Oryzias latipes: one gene and its partners. The protein of the gene in region 3 binds, or shares a complex with, the protein of the main gene of each other region. Links are inferred from orthologs where the notes say so. Each region holds a gene or a part of one and is shown on either strand. Other genes may lie near its edges.

Evidence for each region.
Region 1: polr3c (region 3) and polr3k share a complex: the UniProt entries of both Homo sapiens proteins name them as parts of the RNA polymerase III complex. The link is inferred for Oryzias latipes from reciprocal best matches to the Homo sapiens genes POLR3C and POLR3K.
Region 2: polr3c (region 3) and polr3f share a complex: the UniProt entries of both Homo sapiens proteins name them as parts of the RNA polymerase III complex. The link is inferred for Oryzias latipes from reciprocal best matches to the Homo sapiens genes POLR3C and POLR3F.

The regions. Positions count from the first base shown.
Region 1 is NC_019866.2:8,136,287-8,146,291, reverse strand, and holds polr3k (DNA-directed RNA polymerase III subunit RPC10), read right to left. Parts: upstream 6,259-10,005; 5' UTR 6,153-6,258; coding exon 6,042-6,152; intron 5,947-6,041; coding exon 5,859-5,946; intron 5,323-5,858; coding exon 5,195-5,322; 3' UTR 5,083-5,194; downstream 1-5,082. Other genes in the region: cdip1 (cell death-inducing p53-target protein 1), read left to right, coding at 610-685, 940-1,092, 2,353-2,629, 3,654-3,765; snrnp25 (U11/U12 small nuclear ribonucleoprotein 25 kDa protein), read left to right, coding at 6,627-6,839, 7,459-7,549, 8,202-8,307, 8,385-8,459, 8,555-8,612. UniProt on the Homo sapiens protein: Core component of RNA polymerase III (Pol III) which synthesizes small non-coding RNAs using the four ribonucleoside triphosphates as substrates. Can mediate Pol I proofreading of the nascent RNA transcript.
Region 2 is NC_019859.2:412,322-423,482, reverse strand, and holds polr3f (DNA-directed RNA polymerase III subunit RPC6), read left to right. Parts: upstream 1-6,045; 5' UTR 6,046-6,142; coding exon 6,143-6,204; intron 6,205-7,076; coding exon 7,077-7,194; intron 7,195-7,269; coding exon 7,270-7,337; intron 7,338-7,401; coding exon 7,402-7,469; intron 7,470-7,536; coding exon 7,537-7,649; intron 7,650-7,725; coding exon 7,726-7,869; intron 7,870-8,403; coding exon 8,404-8,511; intron 8,512-8,580; coding exon 8,581-8,772; intron 8,773-8,850; coding exon 8,851-8,928; 3' UTR 8,929-9,055; downstream 9,056-11,161. UniProt on the Homo sapiens protein: DNA-dependent RNA polymerase catalyzes the transcription of DNA into RNA using the four ribonucleoside triphosphates as substrates.
Region 3 is NC_019874.2:18,837,752-18,848,986, reverse strand, and holds polr3c (DNA-directed RNA polymerase III subunit RPC3), read right to left. Parts: upstream 7,428-11,235; 5' UTR 7,309-7,427; intron 6,432-7,308; coding exon 6,285-6,431; intron 5,958-6,284; coding exon 5,693-5,957; intron 5,537-5,692; coding exon 5,247-5,536; intron 5,143-5,246; coding exon 5,038-5,142; intron 4,606-5,037; coding exon 4,432-4,605; intron 4,344-4,431; coding exon 4,292-4,343; intron 4,192-4,291; coding exon 4,131-4,191; intron 4,045-4,130; coding exon 3,894-4,044; intron 3,591-3,893; coding exon 3,489-3,590; intron 3,405-3,488; coding exon 3,355-3,404; intron 3,267-3,354; coding exon 3,117-3,266; intron 3,032-3,116; coding exon 2,947-3,031; 3' UTR 2,775-2,946; downstream 1-2,774. Other genes in the region: itga10 (integrin alpha-10), read left to right, coding at 1-51, 137-229, 316-392, 476-565, 643-727, 812-925, 1,012-1,119, 1,195-1,302 and 3 more; E3 ubiquitin-protein ligase RNF115, read left to right, coding at 7,521-7,598, 9,943-10,001, 10,170-10,224, 10,365-10,648. UniProt on the Homo sapiens protein: DNA-dependent RNA polymerase catalyzes the transcription of DNA into RNA using the four ribonucleoside triphosphates as substrates.

The DNA of each region.
Region 1 (10,005 bases), on a different chromosome or scaffold from region 3:
AATTTCATACTATCCCAGCAAAATTTAAACAAGGGAAAATAGTGGACTCAAAATCAATTAAAGGTTTGAAAAATAGTACAACTATCATTTTTGTGCATGATATTGTCAGACAAGTTTACTTTTTCTGCATTTTATCAGGCTATATAGATATTAAAAAATAACGATCTAAATATACATGAGGAGGTAAAAAAACTATACCACTATAGTTTTACCTAAAATTCTCCTAATTTTAAGCACTACACTCTGCTTTTCAGCATATTTTGTGTGTTTTACAAAGTAATATTCTGTAATATACTGCAATAAAAACAATTGTAAGCCTCGTATCAATACTTTTCTTACATTGTTATTAAAGTCTTGCAATTCTACATGGTAACAGGAAAATGTTAGATCTTATCTAAGCTGTCAATATCTTTTGTTTACACAAGCTTCTCTGGTAGGAACATCAAGATTTTTGCCTTATGTCAGTTTGACAGAATTTAGCTCAATCATTTGTTTGAAAAGTTGTATTTTTTTTCTTTTTTTTTTCTTTTTACATATAGAAAACATCCATAGTGTTCTGATCGTGTTCCTGTTTTATTAACAACAAGCCAGTTCTGAGTTCTGGCCACTATGTCCAGTGATCCACCTCCTCCGTACCCTGGAGGTCCCAGTGCCCCCCTACTTGTGGAGAAGAATGGACAGCCAGGTAATAAGCTAAAGACACATTATTTTGTTCAATATTATTGAAAGGTATTATAAAGAAATTAGCCTTACATTTATTTCCTGTTGTGAAATCATTTCAATTGAAGGTTGATTTTCTGTTTCCCAAATTAGTGATCTGCATATTTATGTCATAGATGTAGCATTTATTTGTAGTATTCATTCATAATGTCAGATATGTTGTTTTTGCAGTCTGTAATGCTTTAAAAAAAACAAAAAACTTTTTGTCCCATCTTTCAGAGTCTGTAAGAAATGCTCCCATACAAGGACAGCCCCTTCCTCCAGACTATGGCCCTCCACCTTATGAAGCCACGCAGCCTGGTTTCCTTCCACCACATGTCCCAGGGGAGGGTCCTATGCCCATGCCTATGCCCATGCCTCCACCAACACAAGGTACCTAATTCTTGATATTTGTAATTATATTTAGATTCTATAAAGAATTTCTAAAGTGAAATTTGAGCATCAAGACTGAGACTTTTTCTGTTTAAAAACTCTTAGCGAAATGCTTAAAACTTTTACGTCACACTTTCAGCTCAAGCTTGTAATCTTTTATTACTTTAAGCTTTTCATTAACTCTTTAGGATACCGCCTCGCTTCCCTCAGGGCCTAAAGTTCTCCCTTTTTGTGACACATTTTACCAATGAAAATGTGGATGTTTTGAATTGTTGCCATTTACTTGACCTAATTCCTGTTATCAGAATCAGAAGTACTTTATTGATCCCACAAGTGGGAAATTTGTGCGTTACAGTAGCAGCATTGTAATCATAAAAGAAAATTGAATCATATAAAAACAAAATAATTGTAAAAAAAAAAAAAAAAGGTGGTATAATTAAAAAAATATTCACAAACAGTGCAGGCAAAAATGTGCAAAAGTTATCTGTTACCCTGTGAGTTATTGTAAAGCGTATTGTATTGGGTAGGAAGGATTTCCAGTATCGGACAGTGTTGGAGCGGAGCTGTCTGCGCCTCTTAAAGAAGGAGCTCCGCTGTTTGTCCAGAACAGGGTGGAGAGGATGGTCTGGGCTGTCCATAATGGATAAAAGCTCCTCTCCACCACTGCTTCAAATGTTTCATGTTTGCAGCCAATGACAGAACCCTTGATTGTTCTACCATCAATTTCAAATGAAATATTTATAGTTGTACTTCTATTGCTAAATCTCATGAAATATGATTTTTCAGCTTGGCATTGGGCCGTCATATTTATCTGATCTGATTTTAAAGTTTGAGCCCTTGCCGAGCCTGAGCTCCTCAGGTACAGGTCTGTTAGTTATTCCAAAGGTTTTAAGTTAAAACATATGAGGAAGCCTCATTCAGTCATTATGGAACTGTAGAAAAGCCACCCAGAGATCCACAGAGACTGTTTATGTTTTTAAAGGAAGGCTCAAGAACTACCTTTTGATTCTGGCTTTGAGTTAAAATTTAGAAAAATTCTTAATTGATGTTATTTGATATTCTTATCGTCTGTTTTTACTCATTTGATTCAATCTTTTTTATTCACTTTTACTGATTTTATATCTGTTCATTGTGCTCCATCCTTGTAGTCAAGTTTATTGCAGGACTTAAATCAAAGTTGTGTTTTTGTGTGGTCTCTATAAAGTTGTTCCGTTGACACAGTTTCAGTTTTTATTACACCTCTGGATTCATTCTTTACAGGTGGCCCCTACCCACTGCCTCCCGGGCACTTCGCTAGCCCAATACCAGGTCAGATGGGTCCAGGCCCCGGCCACTTTGTGCACATGGGAGGACAAACAACAACAGTCCTGGGTCCACCAGGTGCAGCCACCACCGTGACGGTACTGCAGGGGGAAATGTTCCAGACCTCGCCGGTGCAGACTGTGTGTCCACACTGCCAACAAGCAATCGTCACCCGCATTTCCCACGACGTTGGCCTCATGAACACACTCTTCTGCCTATTCTGCTTCTTTGTAGGGTGAGTGTACTGTGGAGCTTGTAAACTGCACTTGTTTGGAACGAGTAATCGTTGTAAACGGCAGATACAAATTGGTCAAAAAGGTGACGAAACGGAACTTTTCCTCTGATGAGGAAAACCAAAGGAGCATCAAAGTTTAAACAGCTTTATCATTAATTCAAGTGCTAATTATTTTTATTCAGTTGAAAGCGTCACATTTAAGGCCTATTCACAATGATAAAGTAGTGTTAAATACAAATTATAGTGTAAATATTCTGGTTTTGTTCTTGATTTTATTTACATATAGCACATGTAGTGCCATGTAATACATGTAGTATTTTATGAGACAATTTTTGGATCAAATTAAAGGATTATTGAATGATAAAGGAAACTTCTAAGCTTGATTATTAGTAAAAAAAAAAAAAGTATGTGAACCAGACAGTTCATCAATATAAAGGAAATGAACATAGATTGCAATTAAAATCCATGTTAGTAAAAAAAAAAGAATTTAAAGAATTCTGTATACATTGTATGATTACAAGTAAAATTTAACATCAAAATGTTTTTTAAATACATTTCAAGTTAGAAATGTCCATATGTAAGGTTTTTGTAAATTGTGGAGCCTTGGCTTGCAATAAGGCCAGGGAAGTAAAGTTCAAGAAGTGGATAAAAATAAATCAGATTTTTTTTAAAGATGTTTTGTCTTACATTTTTATTGTTGCAGTCAAAATCTGAAAGCAGGAAGTCGGTGTCTCTTTAAACCACGTTTTAATGAATGTGTCTCATGGCTCTTAGCTACCTAAAGTGTGTCATTTAGCCTTTTAAAAGTATATTTTGCATTAATTCTTTGTCCTAGACATTTGAACAGATTTTTGAATATAGAAAATGTCATCTTATTTTAGTTTAAATTCACATTCTTGTTGAGGGACTTTGTTGTTTACTTGGAAGCTTAATGTGCTCAGAGTTCATTTTCTGTTCCTGCCAGCCCCTGGCGTCCACAGGTCTGAGTCTAAATATGCATAACCGTCCCGTTCCGCATTCGCAGGTGTGACCTGGGCTGCTGCCTGATTCCCTGCCTGATTGATGACCTGAAGGACGTGACGCACACCTGTCCTTACTGTAAGGGCTACATCTACACATACAAGCGTATATGCTAACCACCAACAGCTGGATGCCACAGAGCCATGTACATGCAAACAGAAACAAACTTGCAGCTCCCCTGGCTGATATTAACAGGCCGACTTTTTTTTTTTTTTTCGCATAGTGTTGTGAAACCCTCTTGTATTGTAATCAGTTTTCTCATTAGCTAATTTGCTGTATATATTTCTTCATATTTTAAATTATTAACATGAAGTTGAATTGTACAGATCCCTGTTACTGCTAAGGATGCATGTGAATAGTAGGACTTTAAAAGCTTGGCAGCCTGGTGTAGAGGAAAGCTGTCCTCATATGTGAAGTTGTCTAATTTTTCGTTTAATCCGTTCAAGCTCAGACGTGTTCTTCCGGATTATGAATATTTGTGCGTAATTTTGTTTTTGACATTTGTAGTTGTCAAATGTGGGAAAACTGTCAATTTAAACTGACACATCTGCTAGAAACTTGATTTTTCTTTGCTCCAATCAGGAGCTGACTTATTGTTTTACTGTTACTCACCAGTTCCTCGTGTCTGTGATCTGCTTTCATTGTAATGTCAACATTTGCACTTTGTTATGTTTTTAGCCTTTTTATTCCTGAAGAAAGGGTTGTCCTGTTTTAATCAATTCCCTGAAAGAAGTGGAATAATTTCAAGCATAGAGGTAATATATAACTGGAGTTAATCAAAACATATTTGATCAGAGATTTTAGTAGTCTTTGTGTGCCGAGGACATGGTTATGTGGAAACACTACATGCCATCTCTGTGATACTGAGATTGTAGAGATTCCTCACTGATTTGAAAGTAGTAAACCGTATTTAAGCTGGAAAGGGATGCAGCCATCATTGCATTGATCACCTAATCTTGACATTTGTCATCTATGACATAAATAAATGCATGTTAGATGAAGCGATAGCCTTGACTGAGCAGTCTTTTCAGATTAAGCTAAAAAAATATCAAAAATACAGTTTTTATTGGATAAACCACTAACAGTGTAAAAGCACTGTTCCGTCACAGCATGTCCGATTTCATTTTTCACCAACGCTTTGGAGGTGCAGAATTTGTCTGCATGAGCTACACATCCAAATAAGTGATTCTCTTTGGCTGGCTCCTAGATTTGTATTTTTTTTTCTCTTCCTTACCTTAAGGATGATTGAGTTGCTCTAGAAATTGCATTTTGAGCTCAAGGATTGCATAGAAAATAAACGTGTGGGAACCAGTGGTATGCATTGCTCTCAATGTCTGCAACAAGATACAAACATCTAAGACAATTGAATTGACTGATGTACACAGGTATTATTTTATCAATAAAAGCTCTGAAATAAAGAATTTGTCCGTTGATTGATTCTGAAAAGCAAATTTTATTTATAAATAATAATGGGTCCAAAACATTCTTTACATGTGCTTTGATTGCCATTTAAACTAGAAATAATGAGTGAATGAAATAAAATGCTCAATCTCTCCATCTGTTTCCACACTGAGCATTACAGCATTTGTAGAAAGTCGTCATTGGTTCATCGGCTGATCTGGTCTGGATCTGCATGAAGTAGGCTCGAGGATGCTCGCATTTGGGACACGTTTCTGTGAAAAAACACAAGCAAACATGCATATATGTACACACATGTTCAGAATTTTAGTTAGTTCTCGGATTGAACTTCTTTCTGTGGCCCACATTCAGGTTGGTACTCGCCATAGCATCACACAGCAACACTGCCTCTAGCAAAAAGTAGTCCATTTAAGTGTACTACAAGTATACTTAGAGTGAGGCAGTGTACTTGAAGTTCAGTCTATATATAGTAAACATAAAATGTCACAATTTAGTCAGAATAAGTGTTAAGTTAATGTACTCCCTACACGTTACATGGTCAGCAGTATATGTGCAATACTTGCATCCAAGTACACTTAATAAAATAAACTTCAAGTGTACTTGCAGCTAAGGGTGACTATTAACACCCTTTAAACACGCAAATGGACTGTTTCAAATAAACTTTAATTTATTCCTATGGAGAACATATTTGTCTTAGTAGTCAAATTAGTTTTTCTTGGCCTTTGTTTTATATTATTCTCTAGTCTATCCATGTTTTTTTTTAATTCTTGGTAACAAACTTGTTTGTTACCTGCAGTAGAATCCACGTTCTCCCACGCTGCAGCTCCACCCAGCACATCATCCACCTCTTTCAGCTTGGGATATTTTCGGTAGTTTACCTACAAATATTGAAAAGTTTGAGATTAAAAACCACCCTAAGAAATGTCGTGTTTGTTTCTCGAGTCAGAGTCAGACAGTGATAAAAGGAGCGTACCTTTCTCGTGACGTTGTGCACATAGGGACAAGTGTTACAAGCGAATCTCAAGCATTTCTGTCCTTCTTCTACGATTAAAACGTTTCCACAAGTAGGACAAAAAAGAAGCATATTACCAGATTATTTAAAGAAAAACTATCTCGGGAAAGATAGTAGCGACTACGAAATTCATTAGCAAGGAGAAGCAAAGCGGAAGCAGTTGCTCCGGTTTTACAGCTCGGTAGGAAACAAAAAAAAAAAAAACGTTTGTTAAAAATGAAATTGTTATTGTTAAAGAATGTATATAAATGTATAAATATATGTATAACATTATAAATAATATAATTATTTTAAAACCCCACCATCCGCCGCATGAAAAAAAGTTCTTACTTTTGATAAGCGGAACTATTTATCATGTTTTGATGATACCACCGGTATAAGGTCTGCGACACACAGCATTAAAATTCACACCAGTCTTGGGATACATTTTTGTAAACAGTATCCTATTATTATTATTTTAAGAATCTTTTGTACTTAATTGAACGCGTCAAAAAAGAGAAAGCGGTTTCATTTTTACTGAATGTATTTATTTTTAACCAATAATAGATGATGGAGCAGGAAACCGACGAAGGAGAGAATCGTTTGCAGGACAGTCACAGTCACAGTGAGGTGAAAGAGGAGAAGCTGGCTGATGAGACAGCTCCAGATGCCGAGGAGGAAGATGAGGAGTCTCTTCCACATTCAGAGATCCTTGATATCTTCGAAGAGGGACTTGCTCGACTTGTGCAGGACCCTTTACTGTGTGATCTGCCGATCCAGGTCATAGAAAAACACCACACTCCGCACACCAGGCAGATGTTTAAAGAAAATTTTCATAAATTGTAAATTTAACACTAAAGTTGAAACGCGTCCTTCTTCCGGTTTGTCTGACGGCATATTTGCATAGCAGAAAATAGCTGCATATATATTCTTGAAAAGCCAAATCGAATCCAATTTCAAAACAATCTTATAGCTCTAATTTATGTTTTCTCTCCTTTTTCTTCTTGAAACTGTTTATACGATTTAAGAATTATATACGAATAGCAATGAAATAAATGTTCTAATCTAGAATTAAGTACCAAACATGCATAATAAAAATAACAAAAACACAGGTTATAATCCATAACATTAGTATTGTCAGTATTGCTCTTGTAACATTGGACTATTATACAATAATCACATTTGTTTTTTTTTAATCTCATTTATTATTAAGCCCAGAAAGAAATCTGTTATTTACAACTGGTTTATCTTTCGTATTTGCAAATTTGTCTTTGAGAAAACATGAAATGTCTGCAGTTATAAAGGATTAACCAAGTCCATTTGACTGATTTTTTTTTTTTTTACCCTCTACTGTGTTAGAAGGATGAGAATCCACAATCTGCAATATTTTTGTGTTCAGGTGACTTTGGAAGAAGTAAACTCCCAGATTGCATTGGAGTATGGGCAAGCAATGACTGTGAAGGTTGTTAAGGCAGATGGGGAAATCATGCGTAAGTTCCAAAGTCTCCCAGCTGATTTGTATAATTAGTATGTGTCTATATTGTGTTTGTATGACTATGTCTGTGTTCACTGCCTGACTCATCAGACCTCATAACCTTCTTCTATCGCTCTGGAGTCCAATCTAAATGTTCCCTGACAAACGTTTTTTTTCTGGTTGGCCTTAATGGTCAGTGGGTTTTTTTTTAAGGGTGCACAGCTCTTGTGTCCCGCATTATCCCTCCAGTTTTTCATAATGTGTTGGACAGTTCTTAACCCGTTCGCCCTCTCTGCAGTTTCTTTTGATGTTTAATTTACCGCCAGTGATTTGACCCGTCACCAACAAACTAACATCTCTCCCACAGGATGTGTTTATTGACTTGGTGGTTTAAAAAGAGGGAATCAACTCATTGCATCAGTTGGGATTATAAAACCTGTTACCCGTTGACAGACAATCACCCCATCGCCCAAGCAGACAGTCGCCCATGCAATATTTATCCAATGGGAGGCGCGTCCAAATTTGCATATTTAAATCCAACTTTTAATTTTGGACAGACCATGTATATTTGCATGTGGATTTTTCTTAGCTTTCAAATGATTTTAAATATGTTTTGCACATTTTTTTTACTATACACAGTAGTAACATTTTTTTTTTTTCATATTTAGCTATAGTGGTGGTGCAAAACGCCACAGTTCTTGATCTTAAGAAGGCCATTCGCAGATTCATGGAGCTTAAACAGCAACGAGAAGGTGGAGTGAAACATGTCAGCTGGTAAGAATTTTGGTAAACACGATAACAGAGCAGTTGTGTCCAAATCTTCACTTTGTTTTTCCTCCTTTCTTCTCCAGGAGATATGTTTGGAGGACGTATTATCTGGTATTTCAGGGGGAAAAGCTTGAAGATGACTCAATTAGGCTCAAAGAGTGGGTATCAATGAAGTCTGGTTTATACTGTGTGCAACTGACATAATATTAAAATGTCCTCTGACTCCTGCATTCAAATGCTTATTTGTTTTCAGTTACGGCATTAGAAACAGAGATGAAGTGATGTTTATGAAGAAACTCAGGAAGAAGTGACTCATCCATTTGCCAATTCAGAAGAAAGAAGTTTTCCCAACATAATTAAACTTGTTTTTAAAATAAACCATAACTTTAAGATATATAATACTTGTTTTGAACATCTCTTAAAGTAAAATCTACTTGTAATTACTTGTTTGGAACTGTTTCTTCTTTTAAAAGGCTCAAATGTAAAACCTTTTTTTTTTTTAAATGTTTTGTTTTAAATGGATAGATATGAAATATGTCAATAAATAGCATATCATTTATCTGGGTTTGCATTTTGTCCCTCGAGGATTCAGTGTAAATGTTCACAGTGGGTAATTGTAAACGTAGCTGAACTATTTGAATATTTTGAATAATTAGTTGGAGGAAAGGAACAGTGTTCTGTTGTCCGGCTTCTATCTAATGCTCTATGAGGACGATGAATCAGGTGCAGCAGAACAGGTAAGGCAAAACAAAACTATATTCACGATTATAAGACAGCTTTGTTAACATATTAGTGTGCCAAATGTATCCTAACATGGATTTATTTCAAAACATTTTAAAAATGTAATTTTACCCAACCAAAATAATAGAAACTAAGAAGTTTTTTTTTTTTTTACCAACCATATTCTCTGTGCCCCACATACTTATTAATTTCTTTCAAAATATGTATGTTTTGACCTCTAAGTAATTATCAATCACTTTACTTCTGATTTTTATTCTTAATTTTGGATCACAGATTCTGCAAGTTTTCCACCTAAAGACGAGATAATTTCATCACAGATACACTTCAACTGTTAGAGACAGACTAGAATATAAGAGTGAAGATTTCAGGAAATCACACTGTATGATTTTTAAACATTTTTTAAACATTTGTTTGTATATGAGTATTTGGTCAAAACAAAAGGGTCTAAGGGCAGGAATGCCCAGTTTAGATTAGACTGTTTAGTTTAGTTTAGCATTTTATGACTGATTTTATGTTCTTGTATGAAGCTCTTTGGCACAACTATTGTTGTAATACTGGGCTATATAAATAAAATTTAATAGAAAAGTTACCTTGATCTCAGAGACAGAGGTCAAAGGTCTCCTGTAGGCCTTTATCCGGTTTAGACACAGCATAGCTGCTATTTTGGCCCATTCTTCTGTACAGACCTTCTAAGAGCTGTGATATTTTGAGGGTGTCACTGGGAAACACAAACTTTCAATTCCCTCTCCAGATTATCTATTAGATTGAGATCCGGAAATGGACTAGGTTACTCCAGAACCTTGAAAGGTTTCCTTTTTTTTACGTAGCCACTCCTTTGTTGCCCAGGTGATGTGTCTGGGATCATTGTCGAGTTGAAAATCCAGACACGTTTAATCCCTCTATGATGTCAATAAGGAAACATGTTATTTTTCCCAATATCTCACCATACACGGCCCCATTCAT
Region 2 (11,161 bases), on a different chromosome or scaffold from region 3:
CCAGCAGGTTGGATGTCTTTCATCCAGCAGGTTGGACGTTTTTCATCCAGCAGGATGGACGTCTTTCATCCAGCAGGTTGGATGTCTTTCATCCAGCAGGTTGGACGTCTTTCATCCAGCATGTTGGACGTCTTTCATCCAGCAGGTTGGATGTCTTTCATCCAGCAGCAGGTTGGACGTCTTTCATCCAGCAGGTTGGACGTCTTTCATCCAGCAGGTTGGATGTCTTTCATCCAGCAGGTTGGACGTCTTTCATCCAGCAGGTTGGTCGTCTTTAATGCAGCAGGTTGGACGTCTTTCATCCAGCAGGTTGGACGTCTTTCATCCAGCAGGTTGGACGTCTTTCATCCAGCAGGTTGGACGTCTTTCATCCAGCAGGTTGGATGTCTTTCATCCAGCAGGTTGGACGTCTTTCATCCAGCAGGTTGGTCGTCTTTAATGCAGCAGGTTGGATGTCTTTCATCCAGCATGTTGGACGTCCTTCATCCAGCAGGTTGGACGTCTCTCATCCAGCAGGTTGGACGTCTTTCATGCAGCAGGTTGGATGTCTTTCATCCAGCAGGTTGGACGTCTCTCATCCAGCAGGTTGGACGTCTTTCATGCAGCAGGTTGGATGTCTTTCATCCAGCAGGTTGGACGTCTTTCATCCAGCAGGTTGGATGTCTTTCATCTAGCAGGTTGGACGTTTTTCATCCAGCAGGTTGGATGTCTTTCATCCAGCAGGTTGGACGTCTTTCATCCAGCATGTTTGACGTCTTTCATCCAGCAGGTTGGACGTCTTTCATCCAGCATGTTGGACGTCTTTCATGCAGCATGTTGGATGTCTTTCATCCAGCAGGTTGGACGTCTTTTATCCAGCAGGTTGGACGTCTTTCATCCAGCAGGTTGGACGTCTTTCATCCAGCAGGTTGGACGTCTCTCATCCAGCAGGTTGGACGTCTCTCATCTAGCAGGTTGGACGTCTTTCATCCAGCATGTTGGACGTCTTTCATCCAGCATGTTGGATGTCTTTCATCCAGCAGGTTGGACGTCTTTCATCCAGCATGTTGGATGTCTTTCATCCAGCATGTTGGACGTCTTTTATCCAGCAGGTTGGACGTCTTTCATCCAGCAGGTTGGACGTCTCTCATCCAGCAGGTTGGACGTCTCTCATCCAGCAGGTTGGACGTCTCTCATCCAGCAGGTTGGACGTCTCTCATCCAGCAGGTTGGACGTCTCTCATCCAGCAGGTTGGACGTCTTTTATCCAGCAGGTTGGACGTCTCTCATCCAGCAGGTTGGACGTCTTTCATGCAGCAGGTTGGATGTCTTTCATCCAGCAGGTTGGACGTCTTTCATCCAGCAGGTTGGATGTCTTTCATCTAGCAGGTTGGACGTTTTTCATCCAGCAGGTTGGATGTCTTTCATCCAGCAGGTTGGACGTCTTTCATCCAGCAGGTTGGACGTCTTTCATGCAGCATGTTGGATGTCTTTCATCCAGCAGGTTGGACGTCTTTTATCCAGCAGGTTGGACGTCTTTCATCCAGCAGGTTGGACGTCTCTCATCCAGCAGGTTGGACGTCTCTCATCTAGCAGGTTGGACGTCTTTCATCCAGCATGTTGGACGTCTTTCATCCAGCATGTTGGATGTCTTTCATCCAGCAGGTTGGACGTCTTTCATCCAGCATGTTGGATGTCTTTCATCCAGCATGTTGGACGTCTTTTATCCAGCAGGTTGGACGTCTTTCATCCAGCAGGTTGGACGTCTCTCATCCAGCAGGTTGGACGTCTCTCATCCAGCAGGTTGGACGTCTCTCATCCAGCAGGTTGGACGTCTCTCATCCAGCAGGTTGGACGTCTCTCATCCAGCAGGTTGGACGTCTTTTATCCAGCAAGTTGGACGTCTTTCATCCAGCAGGTTGGACGTCTCTCATCCAGCAGGTTGGACGTCTCTCATCTAGCAGGTTGGACGTCTTTCATCCAGCATGTTGGACGTCTTTCATCCAGCATGTTGGATGTCTTTCATCCAGCAGGTTGGACGTCTTTCATCCAGCATGTTGGATGTCTTTCATCCAGCATGTTGGACGTCTTTTATCCAGCAGGTTGGACGTCTTTCATCCAGCATGTTGGACGTCTTTCATGCAGCATGTTGGATGTCTTTCATCCAGCAGGTTGGACGTCTTTTATCCAGCAGGTTGGACGTCTTTCATCCAGCAGGTTGGACGTCTCTCATCCAGCAGGTTGGACGTCTCTCATCTAGCAGGTTGGACGTCTTTCATCCAGCATGTTGGACGTCTTTCATCCAGCATGTTGGATGTCTTTCATCCAGCATGTTGGACGTCTTTTATCCAGCAGGTTGGACGTCTTTCATCCAGCAGGTTGGACGTCTCTCATCCAGCAGGTTGGACGTCTCTCATCCAGCAGGTTGGACGTCTCTCATCCAGCAGGTTGGACGTCTCTCATCCAGCAGGTTGGACGTCTCTCATCCAGCAGGTTGGACGTCTTTTATCCAGCAGGTTGGACGTCTTTCATCCAGCAGGTTGGATGTCTTTCATCCAGCAGGTTGGATGTCTTTCATCCAGCATGTTGGATGTCTTTCATCCAGCATGTTGGACGTCTTTTATCCAGCAGGTTGGACGTCTTTCATCCAGCAGGTTGGACGTCTCTCATCCAGCAGGTTGGACGTCTCTCATCCAGCAGGTTGGACGTCTTTTATCCAGCAGGTTGGATGTCTTTCATCCAGCATGTTGGACGTCTCTCATCCAGCAGGTTGGACGTCTTTCATCCAGCATGTTGGACGTCTTTCATCCAGCAGGTTGGATGTCTTTCATCCAGAGGAAATCACAGCTTTTATTTTGATAGTCCACTTCATATTATAGGCAAGTTCATTTGCTAAATGTTTAATTTGGATTTAAATGTGTTTTAGAAAATATAAATATTTAGTGATAAACCTTAAATGTTTAGTTCAGATGTTCATTTGTAAAGTAAACGTTTTGTCTGTAAATTAAATATATATAATTGTAAAAACAATATTTAACTTTAAACCATGCATTTACTTCACTAAATATTTAGTTTGTACATTTAACTATACTAAATGCATGAATTAAAATGTGAAAATATGGATTAAAAGGTTAAACTTGTTTTTTCTCCTCAAACCAGAATAATAATCCAGAATATTGTTGTAAATATTTGCTCCCCTTAGAAACGGTTTATTGAATTCTCATCAAAATTCAGAATGAAAATACCTTCAAAGGTTCCCTTTATTACTTCCCTCAAAACGTCTTTTTGATGTTTTTCTTTTTACTAAACCTTTTTTTAAATGAGAGTTTATTCCTTCGTTCTGTTGTCGTCTTTCGCTTTGGTTGTTTCTTCATCTCTGGCAACGTGAACGGACATCTGGAAAAAAGGCGACAAGAGAAAAATGCTGTTAACAAATTAGTAATTAATGGCAGGAAAAGTACAAATATGGAGGAAATGAAGAGAGAAATGTTCCAGTTTTACAGTAGGCTGTTCTCTTCCTCTTATTCATGTCAGGATGCTGATCGCTTCTTTAATCACATCAAGGATTTGGCTCCTAAAGTGGATGAAAACTTTGAAGCAGAAATCACTATGGAAGAAGCAGAAAAAGCCATGAGAGGTTTAGCTGTAGTTAAATCTCCAGGATCTGATGGGCTGACTGTGAACTTTGACAGACATTTCTGGAAACACTTGAAAGAGCAGTTTCTGTTGGTCATAAAGGAAATGATCCTTCCAACCGCCATGAAGCCGGGCGCCGTCACCCGATTCCTAAAGCTGGAAAAGACGCCAGACTGATGGATCATTTCAGACCAACATCCCTCCTCTACAGTGATTAGAAAATCATAACCAACATTTCTGCATCTGGATTAAAAACAGGACTGAATCAGATCATCTCAGACACACAATCAGGGTTTTTAAAGACGATCAATTCACAATAATATCCGGTTAGTTCTGGATCTGATTGACTATAATCAGTTCATTGAAGATGATGGCTTCATTTTATTTTTAGACGTCTTGAACACAAATTTATGTTTCAGACTTTAGAATTATTTGGATTTGGACCTAATTTTATAAGTTTTGTTCAAACAATCTATAATGATACAAACAGTGTCGTTATTTTACCAAACGGCATTTTTCCCAGGTTTTTAATTAACAAAGGAATTTGTTAGAATAGATAGAATCTCACCATTACTTTTTATAACAGCAACAGAAATGTTATCAATACTTCTAAATAACTCTGGTTTCTGTAAACTCAATGTTCTGGGAGAACAGCTAGCCATCACTCAGCTGGCAGACGACACGCCCACATTCATGAAGGACAGTCATCAAACACCTGACATCATTCAGAACCTGGATTTCTTCTCTAAAGAATCTGGTTTCAAACTGAATCTCAGCAAATGTGAATTGTTGCCAGTTCTCCATTCTGATCAGTCAGTCCTTCATAACATTCCTGTTAGGACTGCTGTGAAATATATTTAGTTCAGATCACCAAAGACAGTAAAACTATGGAGGAAATGAACTTATGGAAAACTTTAGAAAAATGTAAGTTAATGTAAACATCTGGTCACAGCGAGACATTTCTATTCAGAGTGTTTCTCACTAAATTAGAATGTTGATCCAGATTCATTTATCCAGCATAGGAAAGCAATAAACCCGAACAATTTCAACTTCATCTGGAAAAACAAAATTAATTCCATAAAAAAAGAACAATAATTCAGGATTACAGTGAAGGTGGACTTAAAGCCTCAGACTTTGAAAGTTTGGATGGTATGATTCAAATAAATTGGCTTAAGTCTTTTCTGCAAAATGGGAGAAATATTTGGTTTCATATTCCCTCAAACATCTTTTCTCATCTAGGGGGTATTGAGTTGCTTCTAAAATGTGATTTTGATTACAGAAAACTTCCTATTAAACTTTCTACTCATCATCAGCAGCTGTTACTGTATGGAAACTCCTCTACAAACATAACTGTAGTTCACACAATACTCCATATGGAACTGTTGGGATATTTTATGTAGGAACAAATCAATATTTTACAAACATTGGATTGATGACAGTATTTGGTCATTAATACATATTATGAATGACAATGGAAACATTATCTCATTTGAAACTTTTTCCAGTAAATTTAAATTAAATGATAGAAAATAATATAATAATGTGATCAAAGCCTCAGACTTTGGTCCAAATGTCCTCCAGTCTGGTTCATGATGATCAAGTTCAGCTTCCCTCTCTGTTGTTTGATGGTCGACCGGTTAATTCAAAACTTCCAAACTCATTTATACGATCTTTATTTGTTAGAGCCGTCCTGTTTCCAACATTAGACATAAATCATTCTATGTCACAGCTTTACACAAGAGAGGAAATAAGCAAGTTGAGGTCTCAGTTCATTAAATATCCAATTTTCCCAAAATACAAAGAAATCCATTTTAAAATAATGAATGCAGTCTATCCATGCAAAGAACTGTTACACATACGTTTAGGTTTTCCAGAGAATAACTGTTCTTTTTGTGATATAAATATTGAAACACTTGATCATTTGTTTTTTGAATGTATGTATGTTTACAGTTTTTGGGAGGATTTCTTTTTTTGGTGCTCTTCAAAGTTTCCCTTTCCTATTTCTATTCACTTACAAAAGCACATTATATTATTTGGAGTAGTTTCTGGTGATAATCTATTTGATTTGACATTCAATACCTTATTAATATCTGGGAAATTTTTCATTCACAAGTGCAGATTTGTAAAAACGAAACCATTATTTAATACATTTCTTAAAGAAATCAGTTTATATTTTAAATCTCTGACATTGATGAAAAACAAAAATGCAATAAAACTGTGTGTTTTCATTGAAGATCACATGCTGTATGACAATCCCTAGTGTTGTAAACTATAATTCTATATATTTTGTTTTATTTATTTACTTATTTTCTTTTTCTCTCTTTTTTGTATGTTGTTATTATGTGTATGTTTAAAGTTCAAATAAACAAAATTAAAAAAAAACAAAAAAAAACGTGAACGGACATCACGTGCTCTGATGACGTCACACAGGACCGAGCCTCTCCCGCCGCTGGGGGGCGGTAACGCTCCGGTCTCCGTGGTTCCCCCAGAAGAAGAAGCGGCGTCACCGGCAGCAGCGGACCGGGGAGATGGCGGAGGTTCGGGTAAAGAAAGAGACGAACCTGGCGGAACCTGCAGAGGTGGAGACCAGGTTCGGACCTCACGATTCTGCCGCGTGCCGGTCCATGACCGAAGCGCGTGCATTTCATCTACGAGCAGCTCCTTGGCTTGTTTCATGCGCGCGTGTCTTAAGTTCAGAAACGGTTCTGGTTCCGGAGGCTACTCTAAACCGAACCTCAGCAGGCTTCTAAGACCGAAACCACTTTGTCTGGTTCCAGAGGTTCGAATCGGGAGACCGACTCAGCTCACGCTCAGGTGGTTTTAGAACCGAGTCCAGTTCTGAAGGTTTTAGATCTGAGTAAACCTCCGAAGACTTCAGAACCGAGTGCAGGTCTGAAGACATTAGACTCGAGTCACTCGGGTCTAATGTCTTCATAACTGGACTCGGACTCGAGTCCCGTGAGTTCAGGTCTAAAGACTAAAGGAACCGAGTCCATCCAGGTCTGAAGACTTCAGAACTGAGTCCCGGTATGAAGGTTTTAGATCCGAGTCCAGGTCTGAAGACTTTAGAACCGAGTTCAGTTCTGCAGACTTTAGAACCGAGTCCCGGTATGAAGGTTTTAGATCCGAGTCCTGGTTTGAAGGTCCAGGTCCGAGGACTATCGCTGCAGCTGTTGGATGTTCTGGATGTTGTTCAGAGAACACGCGGATGGGTCAGACGGATTCTAGAGTTCAGGCGGTCTTTGGACCATTTCTGAAGATCCAACGTGACGTTCTGAACGGACCAGAAACACTAGAACCTCCGTCTTGGAGAGGTCCATCTGAAGATGTTCCTTTTTGTTCCAACTGGAGATGAGACCCAAGCTGACACAGGGTTTATTATGGGATGTCTGATCTTTGGAGCGACTGGACCTTGTGGTTCTGATCCAGGAACTTCAGCTCTGAACGCCTGTGTGTCTCCAGGATCAGAGAGCTGTGTCAGCAGTTCCCTCAGGGAATCACAGACCAGGTGATCCAGAACGACATGCCTCACCTGGAGCCGCAGCAGAGGGCCCTGGCCATCAACAAGCTGCTGTCCCTGGTTAGTCCGGTTCTGAACAACCCAATCCATTCTTCAGCGCAGAGGGGTTCTAACGTAACCTGGTGTTTGTTCCAGGGCCAGCTGGACTTGCTCAGGAACAGTTCTGGTCTTCTGTACAGATTAAAAGATTCTCAGACAGCCAGGTGAGCAGCGTTCCATCTGCAGGTTCTGGTTCTGTCCACCGTGAACCCCAATCCTCTGTTTCAGTAAGATGAAGGGCTCGGACAACCAGGAGAAGCTGGTTTACCAGATCATCGAGGATGCCGGAAACAAAGGTGAGCTCTGTCTGCCTCCTTCCAGAAGGTACCGCGGGTCAGAACCTCCCAGATGTTCTGTTCGCAGGAATCTGGAGCAGAGACATCCGCTTCAAGAGCAACCTCCCTCTGACCGAGATCAACAAGATCCTGAAGAACCTGGAGAGCAAGAAGCTCATCAAAGCCGTCAAATCTGTGGCCGTGAGTTCAGAACCGAGCCGGTCCAGACGTGCTTGTGGCCGCCGGCAGTCCTGAACTCTGCTCGTCTGCCACGCAGGCGTCCAAGAAGAAGGTCTACATGCTGTACAACGTGCAGCCGGACCGCTCCGTCACCGGAGGGGCCTGGTACAGCGACCAGGACTTTGAGTCCGAGTTCGTGGAGGTTCTGAACCAGCAGTGCTTCAAGTTCCTGCAGAGCAAGGTATGGAGAACCCAAATGTACGGAACACCAAACCAATGGGTCACAAAGGTCAGAGGTCAGCTGTAGAGCTACGTTTACACCGGGAAACGCGTTCAAGGGACCGCTTTGAGTCCAAAGTCTACGGGAACGCGTCTACGCTTCCGCCTCCAAACTCTACAAAAAGCGCCGCCATTGAACGTGAAACCAGTTGAACTTTGACCAATCAGGGACTCTGAGTTGGTTGCGACGTATGATGGCGTCAAAGCAGAAGTACCAACGACTGAAACTTGATCAGAAAGGACAAAGTAATAACTGCGGTTTGTGTCGACGCCAAGTCTATGATGGATCAGAATCGAGCTGTGAACAAAAGACTCACCAGATTTGGACGTTTCCCACCGAGTCGTCCAACCGCAGGAGACGGCGCCGGGTAGCCACAGTCCAGAATGAACGCCGTAGGCGAGCAAAGGTTCTGTGGTCTTCAACGCGCATCACGTGTGTGAACGTAGCACCAGGCTGAGGGGCCCACCCCTCACCCCCACTCACCCCTGTGTGCAGGCGGAGGCGGCGCGGGGCGGCCAGCAGAGCCCCATGGTTCAGAGGAACAGCTCCTTCGCCACGTCTCACGAAGTCTGGAAGTACATCAGCGAGTTGGGCATCAGCAAGGTGGCCCCGCCGTGACCTCACAGCCCCTCCCAACAGCTGCAGCTGTTCTCACAGGTGTCCCGTGTGCAGGTGGACCTGTCCATGGACGACATCGAGACCATCCTGAACACGCTGATCTACGACGGGAAGGTGGAGATGACCGTGATCGCCGCCAAGGAGGGGACGGTGGGCAGCGTGGACGGACAGATGAAGCTGTACCGCGGCGTGAACGCCGTGCTGCCGCCGGCGGGCCTGGTGAAGACGCCCTGCGGCCTGTGCCCGGTAAGCCGCGCTCCGACGCCCCCTGCTGCCGCTCCGGCTGCGGCACTCACCCCCCCCCCCCCCCCAATCTCTCTGCAGGTGTTTGACGACTGTCACGAAGGGGGGGAGATCTCGCCATCCACCTGCATCTACATGACAGAGTGGCTGGAGTTCTGACTCCGCCCATGGAACCCCGCCCCTTTCCTCCATGGAGCCACGCCCCTTTCCTCCATGGAACCCCGCCCCTTTCCTTTGGTTACGTCTGATTTAAGTTAATAAAGTTTTACTGTTGTGTGAAAAGCGACTCATGAATTCTGACTGAAGTGATTTTGAAGAAAGATCTTTTTTCAGATTTCCCATCAAGAGCGGCCAAAGGCCCCGCCCACAAGCTGTGTAACGTCATCCATGCTCGTTATAAACAGGAAATGGAAAAGATCCTTAAAACCAAGGGTCCCCAAACGATGGCCCGCCCCCCCATTAGACCCGGCCCCCTGAACGATACCAGAGAGAACCAGTTTATTATTATTGAAGCGTAGAAAACAGAATCAATAAAACTTGGAACAGAAAATGACAATAAGGGAAAGAATGCAGGATTTGAACCAGAGCGCTGACCACTGCTCCACCATGCCGCCTCCCAGGAGGAATTTAGCATTTGGATTCTGCGTATAGGGACTGCGGTTCTGAGATGGATCCGGTTTCCTGGAGCGGCCCGACCCGCCTCACAGATCGATGAGGAACATCGCTGACCATCAGGTTAGTCTGCCCCCCCCCCCCTAATGGACTCTCTGCTGACCGTCAGCAGGTCATGTGACCCATTAATGACCCCCCCCCCCCCCCATCAGAACCTTTAGACTAAAAACAGAAAACGGATCAAAACCGGAAATATAGAAAAGGTTCGAATCAACCAGAACTTGACATGAAGTCGCTGAACAGAACCACAAGAACTGGACCCAACTGAACTCAGAACTTCTCAGGGTCCAGTGGGACGGGTACCACCATCAGTGACGTCAGTGTTCGCTTCCTCCAGATCTGGACCGGAGTCCAGGTGAGCTTACACCTGCCAACCGAACTGAACCCTTATGGGAATCAAACCTGTGATCAGAACATGAGGACGGTCCCGACTCAGAACCGATTCTTTCCAAAGTTCTGATGGGCGCTGAGAACGGACCTAAAGTCCCCCTTCAATCCAGAACCGTCCGGAATAACACAGTAACGGTTACCGCGCATGAAGATCGGAGGGTTCGGTCTGAGCCCTTCACCCGAACCGGTTCGGTCAGACTGCTGTGACTCTGGGGGTCCGGCAGGACCGCGCACTGACAGGGGCGGGGGGAGGGGGCGGGGCAGTGCAGATCCTTCCCATCATCCCCTGCAGCAGCCGTCGCAGCAGCTGCAGCCCCCACTCCCCCGCCACTCCTGGATCCTGCAGACCCGCTGGAGTTCGGTGTCCGGTTCGGACCTTATCCTGGTAAGCAGCCGCAGGATCCTCGCGGTTGATGAGTGGGCTCCAAGGTGGGGTGGGGAGATGGGGAGGCGGGCGGTGCCGGACCCCCCCATCCCCAGCAACTTCGATCTGTGGACTCGGTCGGTGCGCCGGGATTCGGTTCGGCCTCCGCGGAGACGCGCGCGCCGCGGCAGCAGTCGTTTGTCCGGTAGGATGGAGGACAAAAGCGCGCGGGACAGGCGTGGCCGCGGGCAGGACGGCCGCCGGTTCCGGTCAGACACGCTCGCGTTTGTTGTTCAGGCAGCTGCAGTCCTGGTTCCGAGTTCGTCCGCGCGCACATAGGCACTGGTTTGACCCAAACCAGGTCCCGAAGGCGTTTTGTTTACTACTGCCCCCCCCCCCCCCAACTTCCTGTTATCTGACGTCATCTGGTCATTGGGCTAACTTCAGGACCGCTGAGCCTCCTGCAGAACTGAACTGGGCCAGCAGATTTGTGGTTCTGGAGAACCTGGTCAGGAATATAAACGGGTCAGCTGTTTCCGGTCCGTTTACATCCAGCTGATCCAGAGGAGAATATCATTACTACGAGTTTAGTTTGGGTCGGAACCAGAGCAGAACCTCTTAGGGCCTCAGTTTAGATCTTAGATTCGGTTCTGACAGGTGTAACCTGGGTTCTGGTTCTGGTTTTGGTGCAGATGTCAACCTTTAATGTTCTGTTGAAGTCGCTTAAAGATGAAAAGATCAGATAGTTTCAGAATTCTGGATCAGAACATGAATACTGTTCTAGTAGGAGGAAGAAGAACTGATGAAGAACGGAGGAAGAGGAGGTGATGAAGAACGGAGGAAGAAGAGGTGATGAAGAACGGAGGAAGAACTGAGGAAGAGGAAGTGATGAAGAACGGAGGAAGAGGAGGTGAGGAAGAACGGAGGAAGAGGAGGTGATGAAGAACGGAGGAAGAGGAGGTGATG
Region 3 (11,235 bases):
CTGAAGCTGCACTATTCACGAAACCTGCACTTCTCCAGCCTAAGCATTCGGGTAACTCACATTGCGCTTGCCCTGGATGCAACAAATCCTCCGTATTTTAATCCAATGTCCTCTTCTTTTTGTTTTTTTAACATAGGAGGATGCCTACTTTAAGATGGAGTGTACAGCAATTGGCTCAAACATTCACTCTTGTAACGTCAGCTACCCAGTGTTTCGCTCTCGGTCAAAGGTGCGCTTACCTGAAGGATTGACTCCATTGGTCTCACACTTTCCTTTCCTCGGGTGAAACTTAAGACTATTTTCTGCTCTTTTTAGGTTAACTTTATGCTGGAGTTTGAGTTCAGCTGCAGTTTTCTGCACAGTCGTGTCCAGATAAAGATCAACGCTTCCAGGTAGTTGAGTCATGGCTGTGTCATGCACATTTTCACCAACCTGCAGGGAAACTTTTGCTGTAACTCTCGCTCTGGTCTTGCAGTGACAGTGTTGAAAGACAGGAGACTTTGGGGGACAACAGTGTTCAGTTGCAAACCTTTGTTCAGTATGAGCCAGAGTTGTATATTAGTAGGTGAGACTGCACAGTATAAGCTTTTTTTGTTATTTTTTCTTGCTATTGATGTACTTACAGGCTTGTTCTTTATGCAGTACCTCTAATCTGAACCGCTACGAAGTCCACCCCACTCGAACAGCATCGGAAGCAATTGGGCCACAATTTTTCACCTACTTTAGGGTAAATCCTTGATTCTAATAAAAAATGTCTGAAAATGTCAAATATTGACATAAGTATCCACCAATTTTTTTTTTTATATTTTAGTTGCAGAATTTTGGCTGTTACTTGCTGAGTAACCTGGAGCTGCGGCTGTATCTGCCCACTGCAGCTGCAGGAGACAGCACCTTCATGACTGTCACCGATGTCTCCTCAAACAACGTGAGCAGATTCTCTTTTTTAGGATGCATTTGCATTTTCACTTCTCTCAGATAAGACATGACATTTGCTCATTCCCCCCCACCCAGGCCTCAGGGGTGAACTGTACTGTCATGAGTGATGTGGCGCAGCTGAAGAGCAGGCAGAGAGAAGTGCGGCCACTTCATCCTGAAGACATGATGCAGGATGAAATCCTGGTGAGGCCCAGAAAACAGGCGCTTCTCAATCCCTTGAACAGCAGCTGATGGGAAATCTCCATTTTCCATACATAGAACTGCAGCAGGTCATGGTGCACGGAGATTGTGTGTGAGGTGCGGCAGCTCAGGGAGGACGTCATCATTCGAGTGAGCCGCAGAGTTCATGAGGATTTTTTCAGGAAAGTGAGTAACATGACAAATAAGGTGACTCAGTTATTCTCCAGTCGCTCCAGCTTTGACCATGACCCTTTTCTTTATGTATTCAGGCAAAATATAAGTCAATGAGGATAATAGGCGCCTATGGCCTCACAGCTCAGGAGACTAACCTCATCACTCTGGGAAAAGGAACAGTCTGGGGGGAGGTAAGAGACGGGCTGAGTTTAAAAATATTAGTTAATCAAATCCATATTTACTAACAATATGCAGAATATGCAACATAAATGAATCAAATGTATGAATCAAATTTCTTTTTAAGTCATTTTGAGTATTTTTTCAGGCATAAAAACTGTTTTCAGTTGGTTTTTATTCAAGAATTACTTATTTTAAGAATGAAAATTCAATTTTTGTTTATTAGTTAGTTAGCTTGTGCGGTTATTTTGGATGGAAATTTGAAAACGTAATCAATATTCACCTACATTTCAACAATTAGTGGATATGCAAAGATGTCGCAAGGGTTAAAATATTTTGGCAGAGACCACCAGCCCTACGTTAGAGTGTACCTAACATACCCATGCGTCTCCCACACTTCTCTTTAGACTGTACTGGAGGTGCTGAAGGGAAGAGCTATTCCCATCTCGCTCTGGATTCTGATCGGCAGCATCATAGGCGGTCTGCTGCTGTTGGCTCTTATTATCTTCATACTGTGGAAGGTATCACATCAAACTCTCTTTGATGTTCAAGACATATGTGTAATATATAAAGGATAGCGTATTCATTCACGCTCTTTTCCTTATTGTCAGCTCGGATTCTTTACACGCAAACACAGAGGAGAGGAGGAAAATCCTGAAGACTGAATCTGTATGAACAGCGATTTGCCTTGTGGACTACAAGGGAAGTAGATTTTTCTTTGAGCCTCCCACCAGGCACAGACATTCAGGAAATGGATGCAACAGAGTTTCCAAAGACTAAAAAAGAGCATCGCAAGGGTCTAACAGAAATGCACTTCCCACTATTTCCAGAGTATGGAGGCACTTACAGCCGGGCAAAAAAAGTATTTGAATATTCTGCAAGTTGTCCCACTTAAAATGATGAGAGAGATCAGTAATGTTCATCGTAAGTTCATTTCAACTTTAAGAAACAGAACAAGAATCCAGGAAACCACACTGTAGGATTTGACATTAAACGCACCATTATTCAAGTACATTCTATAAAAAAAAAAACAATTCTGGATTCTTTTTTACTTTCCGTCTCCCACAGTTGAAGCATATCTATGATAAACATTACAGGCTTCTCATTAACTTGCAGAATCAGTGACTAATAAATACTTTTTACCCCAATGTTTGTAAATAACCTTAGTTTAATTTTAAGGAATTTGAAAATGTATTAAGCCACAGTTCTTTTATTTAACTTGCAGACTTGTTCATGGTTTTATATTTCAAATGTTCACTCGGTTCTACAGCTTTTTGTTTCATGATGGGAAATAAAAAACATTTGGAAAGGGTTCCTCCTGTTGTGTTTATTATTTGCAAGGAATAAAAACAATCAGATTTAAATCCACTTCTAACCGAAACATATTTGCTGTAAACTCTAAAACTGTTGTGACAAAAAAACAAAATCAAATAATTTTTAAGTAAAATGTGGGGTGTCAGTCATTCTTCCAAATCTGACTTAACTTGTAGGTTTTGTAGAGGAACTTATGTAGGACTCCAGAAGAAAGATTGTTTCATCCACTTGATTCTCTGCTGAATCTAATCTGGAAAGAAAAAAAAGGAAAATTTAAAACCTGTTTAAAAAACTTTGCCAAATATACATTTTTTGTTTCTGTCGTCTTCTCTTACTTGTTAACATGAAGCCTTAAGCTATCCAGTTGTTGCTTTTCAGGAGCGGTGATCATTTCTTCCACTTCAGTGAGCTGTTCGGGTTCGGCCCCGCTGGCCTGCAGAGACGCCAAAATAGCTTCGATTCGTTGCGATTTCTCCAGAAGGCGCCTAAAAAACAAACATAATTCACATTTGGCGCATAGCAGTACCTGCATTCTTGTAAAACTTCAAGGAAAAATATGATTCAAAGACCCACTTGCTTTCTTTGGCCTCAAACAGCCGCCGCTCCATAAGGTTGGCCACTGTCTGGAGAGGAAAGCAGGCATGAAATAATACACCTGTGGCTCTCCATCCAGCTTTCTAAAGCTCCCAGTTTGTTTTCAGACTCACCTTGTAACAGTTCTGTAGCAGCAATCTCGCAGTAGGCAGCTGGTTGACGGTATAAAGATAGAAGGTCCGAGAGGGAGCAAAGTCTGGTGTTTTGGGGATTTCCTGGAGGATACATTTAAAAAAGAGATAATTACAGATAATAAAAATTGTACTAAAAAAAGAAAAAACTAGAACTATGGCTGCTTGGTTCAAACTTTGAGAACTCAACACATGTATTTTTAAATAAATCTATATACATTGGTAAACAGAACAATGCTGTTTTGGATTAAATAACTTCAGCTCAGATGTTTAAAATTCACCACCAGGTTAAAAAATTAGTCTTAGGATAGATCCAGGTGTATGATTAAAACAAATCGTAAACTTTTCATCCAGTTCCTTCTTTAAACCCATTTTACATCCACGTACCTGAAGCTGGACCAGGTTCTGTGAGAGCAGAGTGTACAACATGTCTTTAGCCTCTTTTGCTGGAATCATGGCGAAATCCTCCACTTGCTTCTGCTCCAGATGACGTTTCCGTAGCAACAGGCGGAAGATGCGCGCTGATCTGGAGCCAAATCTGAGGATGAATAAAAGGTATCTTATTAACAATGGGAGCCCAATAGCAACCGTATGTGTGGAGAGCAAACACACACACTGGTGTACCTCTCTTGTACGATGGACTCCAGGGTGGCCCGTGCCAGGTTAGCCAATGCTTGGTTCAGATCTGACAGAAAAGTTAGGGAAAGCTTTTGTTTTGGGTTTAGTAGCGAATGACACGCACACCTGTGGGATGGTTTGAACCTTCAAGTGAGCAGAAAGGATACTGACAATATACATTCCTCCTCCACTTTCCCCAGCCTTCCCCACAAACTCCATCTTAGGAAGGAAAAGTGGGAAACTTTTTGAGCATTTTGTGGGGAGCCAAGCAAAAATCAGAGAGATATTTGAGATGAGGAGGACCTACAGGGTCATCCACCAGCAGAGTGAGGTACTGGTCCAATATATGGCGGGGGATGTTGTAAGTAGCTGGGAGGGACCTGAAGATCTCATTGGCTGAAAGGGGTTTTGTGCACGGGGCAGTGGAAGAGGTTGTCACCTCACTCATCCTCAGCATGGTTCTCACTATTTCACTGCTGGTCTGGGTAGGAAAGATGTGAGAAGACAGCTAGTTAATAATAAATAATAATAATAAATAATTAATAATGAAATAAATGTAAAAAGCTGTAGTATTTAAAGCACAGAGAACAATCCAAGAAAAAAGAGGAATTATTAGGAGTACTTCCAAAAACTATCACTTTATTTCATTTAAAATTTGAATTTTCTTTGATTTTAAGGTCAATACTTCAAAGTCAGATAGTCTTATCAAACAACCAAATGCTTATGCTAAATTCCTTCAGCCATACAAAGAGGGTTTTCAAATACTATTCATTTTTACTTTTAACCATCAAATAATTATACACTGAGGAAATGTATTTGGGTTTTTTTTTCTAGGCAATTATTTTTCAAAACCTGTTTTTCTTTTAATGAATAAAAAAAATGGTTAGTTTGAAATGTTTTGTGGAATTCCCACCTGATCTAGTTTGTTGGCGACAGCACTGATGATAGTCTGATCCCGGAAATGCTGGTGGAACCGTTCAAAGTTCACCTGCCAGTAAATCCCCTCATCCCCATGAGTCTGAGCACCAAAGATCCAAGTTATGAGAAGACAAACAGAAGTCACAACCATAGAAGTCTTAGCATATGCAGTGAACATCTTGCTTTAACAAACGTCTCTCTGACCTCTGGGTCCATTTTCGCTTTTTTCGCATTTCTTTGGTCCTCTCCTTCCTCGCTGGCGAGCGAGCGTTTGCTCCGGCCTATGAGTGTCACTTGAGGAACCCTGTAGCAGTCGGGGAAGCTTTCCGGTGTGGGTGCAGTGCTGCTGGCAGGAGCTGCAGAAGTCGAATTGGCAGTCTGACTGCTCCCTGTCGTTCCTGCTCCTGCTGCTGGGGGACAGCGCTGGAGAAAATGAGTCTCTACCAGTTTGGAAAAGGTGGCGGACACTTCACCATAATCCATGCTCGACCCCTCTGTATCAACAAAACATCAAAGGAAGTATTCATTAGAAAATGAATCTACTGATCGCGATATTTTAGGCCTCAATCCAAAGCTTAACTGAAAAAAAAACCTTCAGAAAACAGATCATCTCTTTTATGGACAGTCTTTTGTTTGATTCTGATGCTCACCGTCCATACTCTGAGTTAGACGGTCTGCGACTGTCTTAACTGTGTTGCTCATCGTCATGTGGCCCCTCTGCAGCAGCTCCTCTATGATAAGCTCACCGGTGTCGCCGTACAGCGTTTTGGCTGTGTATATGTAACGTGGGTAGCGCAGAATTCTCAGTACCCGATCGCAGTGGGCTTTGTATTCCGTCGGGCTCCCCGGTCCTTTTCGACCTTGAATAAACGAACAGGCTCCATGTTGCACAAGAACGCACAGAGACTTCTTTACCTTGATGAAAGAAGAAGAAGTCCTGTTAAAGTACATGAACATTACCAGACATCACTGTATTGTATTGACAAAAAACTGATAAGCAATCAGTTTCAGGTAAAACTGTTTTCAAATATGAATATATATTACCTGAATAATTACATTATAATTTTGTTTCTCTTATTGTTCAAATATCTTTAAAGAACTAACTTTTGCCATATTGCAAGGGACATAGTAATATATGTGACCGTTTGCTTTGAATAATAATTCAAATAATGAATAATTTTGATTATTTTTCAAAGAACATCTGACTACAGCGAATGCAATCTCAGTCTTGCGTTGACCTACCAGATCCACTGACAAGCCAGTTTCATGAACAATGGCTCTTAAATTTTGCGTTCCACTTTTGAGCAGATTTCTTCCCACTTTCTCCACCACTTCTCCAAAGTGCTCCTGCAGCAGAAGACCACACAGACGGACCTCCTGGGCTGTCATCTGCACAAACACACCAACAGTTCAATGAAAACCACTAAGTTAATAATAAGAACTAATGCATGTGCTTTTAGTAGGCTGTAAAGATGAATCGATTCATCCATCTGAGGCAAGATGTTAATCGAATCAAACTATACCAATATGAATTAATTTTAAAAGGAAATAAATCAATTATTATCAATATTGGAAAATACCATTTGGATTAAGGCACAGTAGGCTTTTTTTCTAACTATAACGTTAAAACAGACAACACATCGAATGGCAGCAAAATGTAGGTAAAACTGTCCATTCATTCTTTTTTACTTGTTTGTTTGTAAACATGTTTAATTTACACTTAATTATGTTGCAAAAAAATACAGGGAATGTGGAAAACTTCCCCTGCACTGTTCAGAATCCAGGTATTTATTTTCTGAGTCCCACTGGTTGAATTCTTGGCTAAAGATGTTCTGGATCGATTTTAGATCAGTGAATCGGATCGGATTTGATCGTTCAACATGAACCAATATAAACAATAAATCAATTTTATTTTAGTTCAGTTTAGTTTTTCAATAAACAGCACTTTTTTTAGTTATGTTATCTCTATACATCTAGTTTACGAACTACAAACAACAATAATAGTATTTTACTTTGTTAAAACAGGCACCACTTATTCCAACAGGTAAAATCTAAAAATAAAAAGTTAGATCGGTCATTAAGTAGTTTCCCTTATAGCATACAGTGCATGTAAACTATCTCTTCTAATTTGAAAAGTCAACAGTTGTTCAAGTTCTTTCCCCCTTGGGCTTTTGGATAGTAAAATTACAATTGCATGCTGGGAATTTACTAAATTATCTCTGAATATTTGATGGTATAAGCCTGGCATTTTTTTTTTTTCACAAACCTTTTTCGATTTCAGATCTCGCAATGAAAGCAGACTCCGTGCAGATAGTTTAGCGCATGAGGCTAGTCGATGACAACAAACAGACACTTCCGCTCCCGGTTTTTTGCTTGCTGTGATTCGACAACAGTGCCGCAGTGCATGCCGGGCTGGGGGCGGACAGCTCCCTTCAGCTAGTGGAGGACCGACGTCAGTGTTTGTGCTGCTCCGGGAAGATGGCGGAGGCTGCGGCTGTTCCCTCGCATCGGTTTTTCTGTCACTGTTGTAAGGGAGAAGTAAATCCCAAACTCCCGGTAAGTCGCGTTATTTTTGGTTATTCGCTCATTTTATGTTGAGTGTTATGCGCGGCTGACAAGTCTGCCTTCCGGCAGGTAGCTGTTTGTTTCGGCTACTTCTTGCTACAGCTAAGCCCATAGGCTATTAGCATATAGCAGTGTTTGTTGTTGTTAAGTCAGTAAAGAAACTCCGGTTAGTCGTTTTAGGGGAAACTAAGCTACTCTTAAAACTAACGATAGTAGGTCTTGTTATTCGTGCCTGTTTTAAAATACTTACGCTAATCTCTGTGCTTCAAGGTAGAAGTTGTGTGCTTGGTGGTAAATGATAGATGCATGTTTTTGAACAAAACAGCCCGAATTAATCTGAGAGTTTATTTATTCATAAACTGTCACTCAGATTTTCCTTTTCAGTATATATACACATTTAGTTTTTGTTTCTGTTAACAGCAGTGGCAGTATAAGCAGGGGAAGTTTTCTGTAGATGTCATACGTTGTGGTTTACTTTCAGTTTTAGTGTTAAAGTCAAACGTAACAATGTCGGCAGAAGAGGCGTTTAAATGGCCTACTATTACTATTTTACAAATATTCTTTAAAAGGCCATTTATTTAAAAGGACATTCCTACGTTTTTACAAAAACATTTAACTAACTGTAAGTGTTTGTTTTTTTATTTGTAGTTTTTTTTCTCTTGTTGACTCCGTTTTGTGTTTTTGAAACAAATGTTCCTTGGTAAATAAATAAAAATTGACACACATTTTTCAATCATTGAAATATAAGTTATTTTGTTGATGATAATGATTATAGTATTTCATTTTGGACAAGAAAAAATTTGGACAGGTTAAAATAAATACCAGAAATATCTGAATTTCTAACATGAATGTGTTCTCTTACATGTTTTATAAATTTAGCTTATAACTGGCTGATGTATTGAGTAAATGAATTTTGTTATATAACCCGAATTTTAGGAAACACTGCTTTATGTTGTGTCTAGATTTTGACTGAAAGTTTAAATTAAAAAGTGCAACCTGTTAGCTTCTTAGAAGCAATCTGTTAGACTGATACAGAGATGGAGGGTTCTGTGATTTACTGTGCCATAAAGTAAAAATAAACATCCAAACGTCTATTTGTTTAATCGACCAGTAAACTGGAAACAGAGCTGTGACTATTGCCTCCCCATTATTTTTAAATTTCAGATAATTGGTCACTAATTCTGGATTTACTCACTTGTCTCTTTGTGATTTTCTTTTTCTGTGTTGGATCAAGCAACTGCAAAGATAATATCAAACATTTTTTAAACCTGAAATATAAAGTAAATTATAAAAATCAACAAAACAATACATAACATTTATTTATTACAAGTAATTGTGTGAGTTTTGTGAGTAAATCTGAATTCAAAGGCTTTGACCAAAATAATTTCTGTAATTCATAGTCACTTTTTTTTTCAATTCAACCTTAAGAACATTTGTGAATTTCATTTGTATATTTAGCACTCCAAATCGAGTGAACTACAATCTAAAAAGACATTATTGTTGTGACCCACTTTTTAATGCTACAAGTATTGTACTTCAGGTGTTGCCGTAATGGCTTACAACTTTGTTTTTATGCTAAGTGACCTCAATCCTGTTCCCCTGAGTGAAAAGCTCTATCTTTAAATGAGAGGACAACATATGATCCATCCTGCTGCAAAGGCTGCTTGCTGGTTGTGTTTGCTCCAAGCTGTCATGCTGGTTTTGAACGCCCTCCCCCTAAGGTGTGGTTGGCAGACCAGCCGTACCTCTTTGGTTGCATTCATATGTTGAAACACTAAATGAAAGTCATTATTTATGCTTTTAATCAGCCAATCAAAAAAAAAAAAACATCATACATTTTTCTTAACAATTATCCTTTGAAGTATCACGATATGTGTTGTATTTTACATTAATAAAACACAAGCCCAAAAATGGTTTGGCTCATGAAAACAGTTGCACAGGCTTTTAAAATGTCTGTTTTTCAACATATTAAGATGTAAACAATTAAAAGTACATTTAACTGGAAAGTCTTAATGATGGACATGTTTGCTTATAGTATTTCTAATGTACTTTCAACAGCCCTTAAACCAGGATGTTAACATCGTACACATTGGTGTGTTGAAATATCTACTGTCATTTGAATCTTTTTTACTTGTATTGTGTTTGGCATCTTCAATAGGATGTATACTAAATGTAAAACCAAGTTTTTACATCTAAATGTTACTTTTTTTTCTTTCTGATGTGCTGAAACCCAATTGAAATGAAAAATGTGGCCATAGTTCGATGTTTAGTTGTCTCTTTTTTTCCTCAGCCTTTATAAATAAGCGTGACTCTGTCCTTGTTCTTTTTCTTGCAGGAATACATCTGTCCAAGATGTGATTCAGGTTTCATAGAGGAAGTAACAGAGGATTCCAGGTAAGAGACCTCTGTTTCTGGAACAGAACCTTAAAAGTGAATACATGTTTGTTGCTCTGTCAGTTATCTGTTTATTGAATCTTCTTCCAGCGTGACCTTTTAGTTGATCAGTTTAGTACGCGTTTATTGAGATTGTTGTACCTCCCCTGTTTGTGTTGCTTTCATTAGTCTTCTAGACGGCGGTGCAAATGGGATAGATGACACAGCCACACAGTTTGCAGAGGTACGTTTGACTCTGATCATATTAAATTATGATTAATTTTTGAGTTTTCCCCCCATTTTTTGATCTCTCTGTCTCCCTGTCTTTTTTTTTTTTTTCATGTCCCTTTCCATAACTGTTTGTTAATCCTAACGTCTCTACAGCTGTGGCACCTCCTGTTATTGGAGAGGCCGTTTACAACAGACAGTGACACTCCTGACTCCGAGCCAAGGCTCTCCAGCAGTCGTTTGGGGAGTTTTAGTGATTTCGGAGGACTGGGGGCTGGACCGATCGGGGGATCGGTTCCAGCTGGTCTCGGGGGGCAGATGGGTGGTCTGTTAGGATCCAATGAACACTTCGGACCAGGCCGCCCACCTCGCCTTCACAGCCAGAGGAGATACCGGTTCAGAGGCAGCAGCAGACCAGAGCGCTCACCTGCTGTGGAGGGGTAAACTCGTTTAACTTTGCTTTTCAGTCTTTTGACACAACATCCATTGTTGTGTTGCTTCCTCCGTGTTTCGAGCCACAGTCACCTGTAGCGGCTCTGATGTGGGCTCTAAAGTTGATTGTGGCTGCTGAAGTCAGTCGTGTTATGCTCTCACCAGACATGCTGTGTTACGTTCCATAAGTGGTCTGGTACTGCACACTATAAATAAGCGGCTGGTCTATTTTGGACAGAAGCCTCATCAGCTAGCACTGACCGTGTGCTTCTCAAGATAAGGCAACCTGTTCAGACTTTTGATTGTAAATTGCACTTTTTAAGAAATCATTGAATCAATCATTACTTGCTCAGCAACAAAAAGAGATCCGGCCCCACAGTGTTGTTTTTTTTCATCGGGAAATGCCAGAAAGGACTGTTTAGATCAGGGCTCTGCAACCTGAGGCCCTGGAGCCACATGTGGCTCTTTTACCTCTCCATTGTGGCTTTCTGGTTGAAGAAAAATAAAATCTTTTTAATTTTAAGAAGTTACGTATTTTTTGAACTACATGTTAAACTAAATCGTCTTAAAGTCAAACTTGATTCAACACATTTAC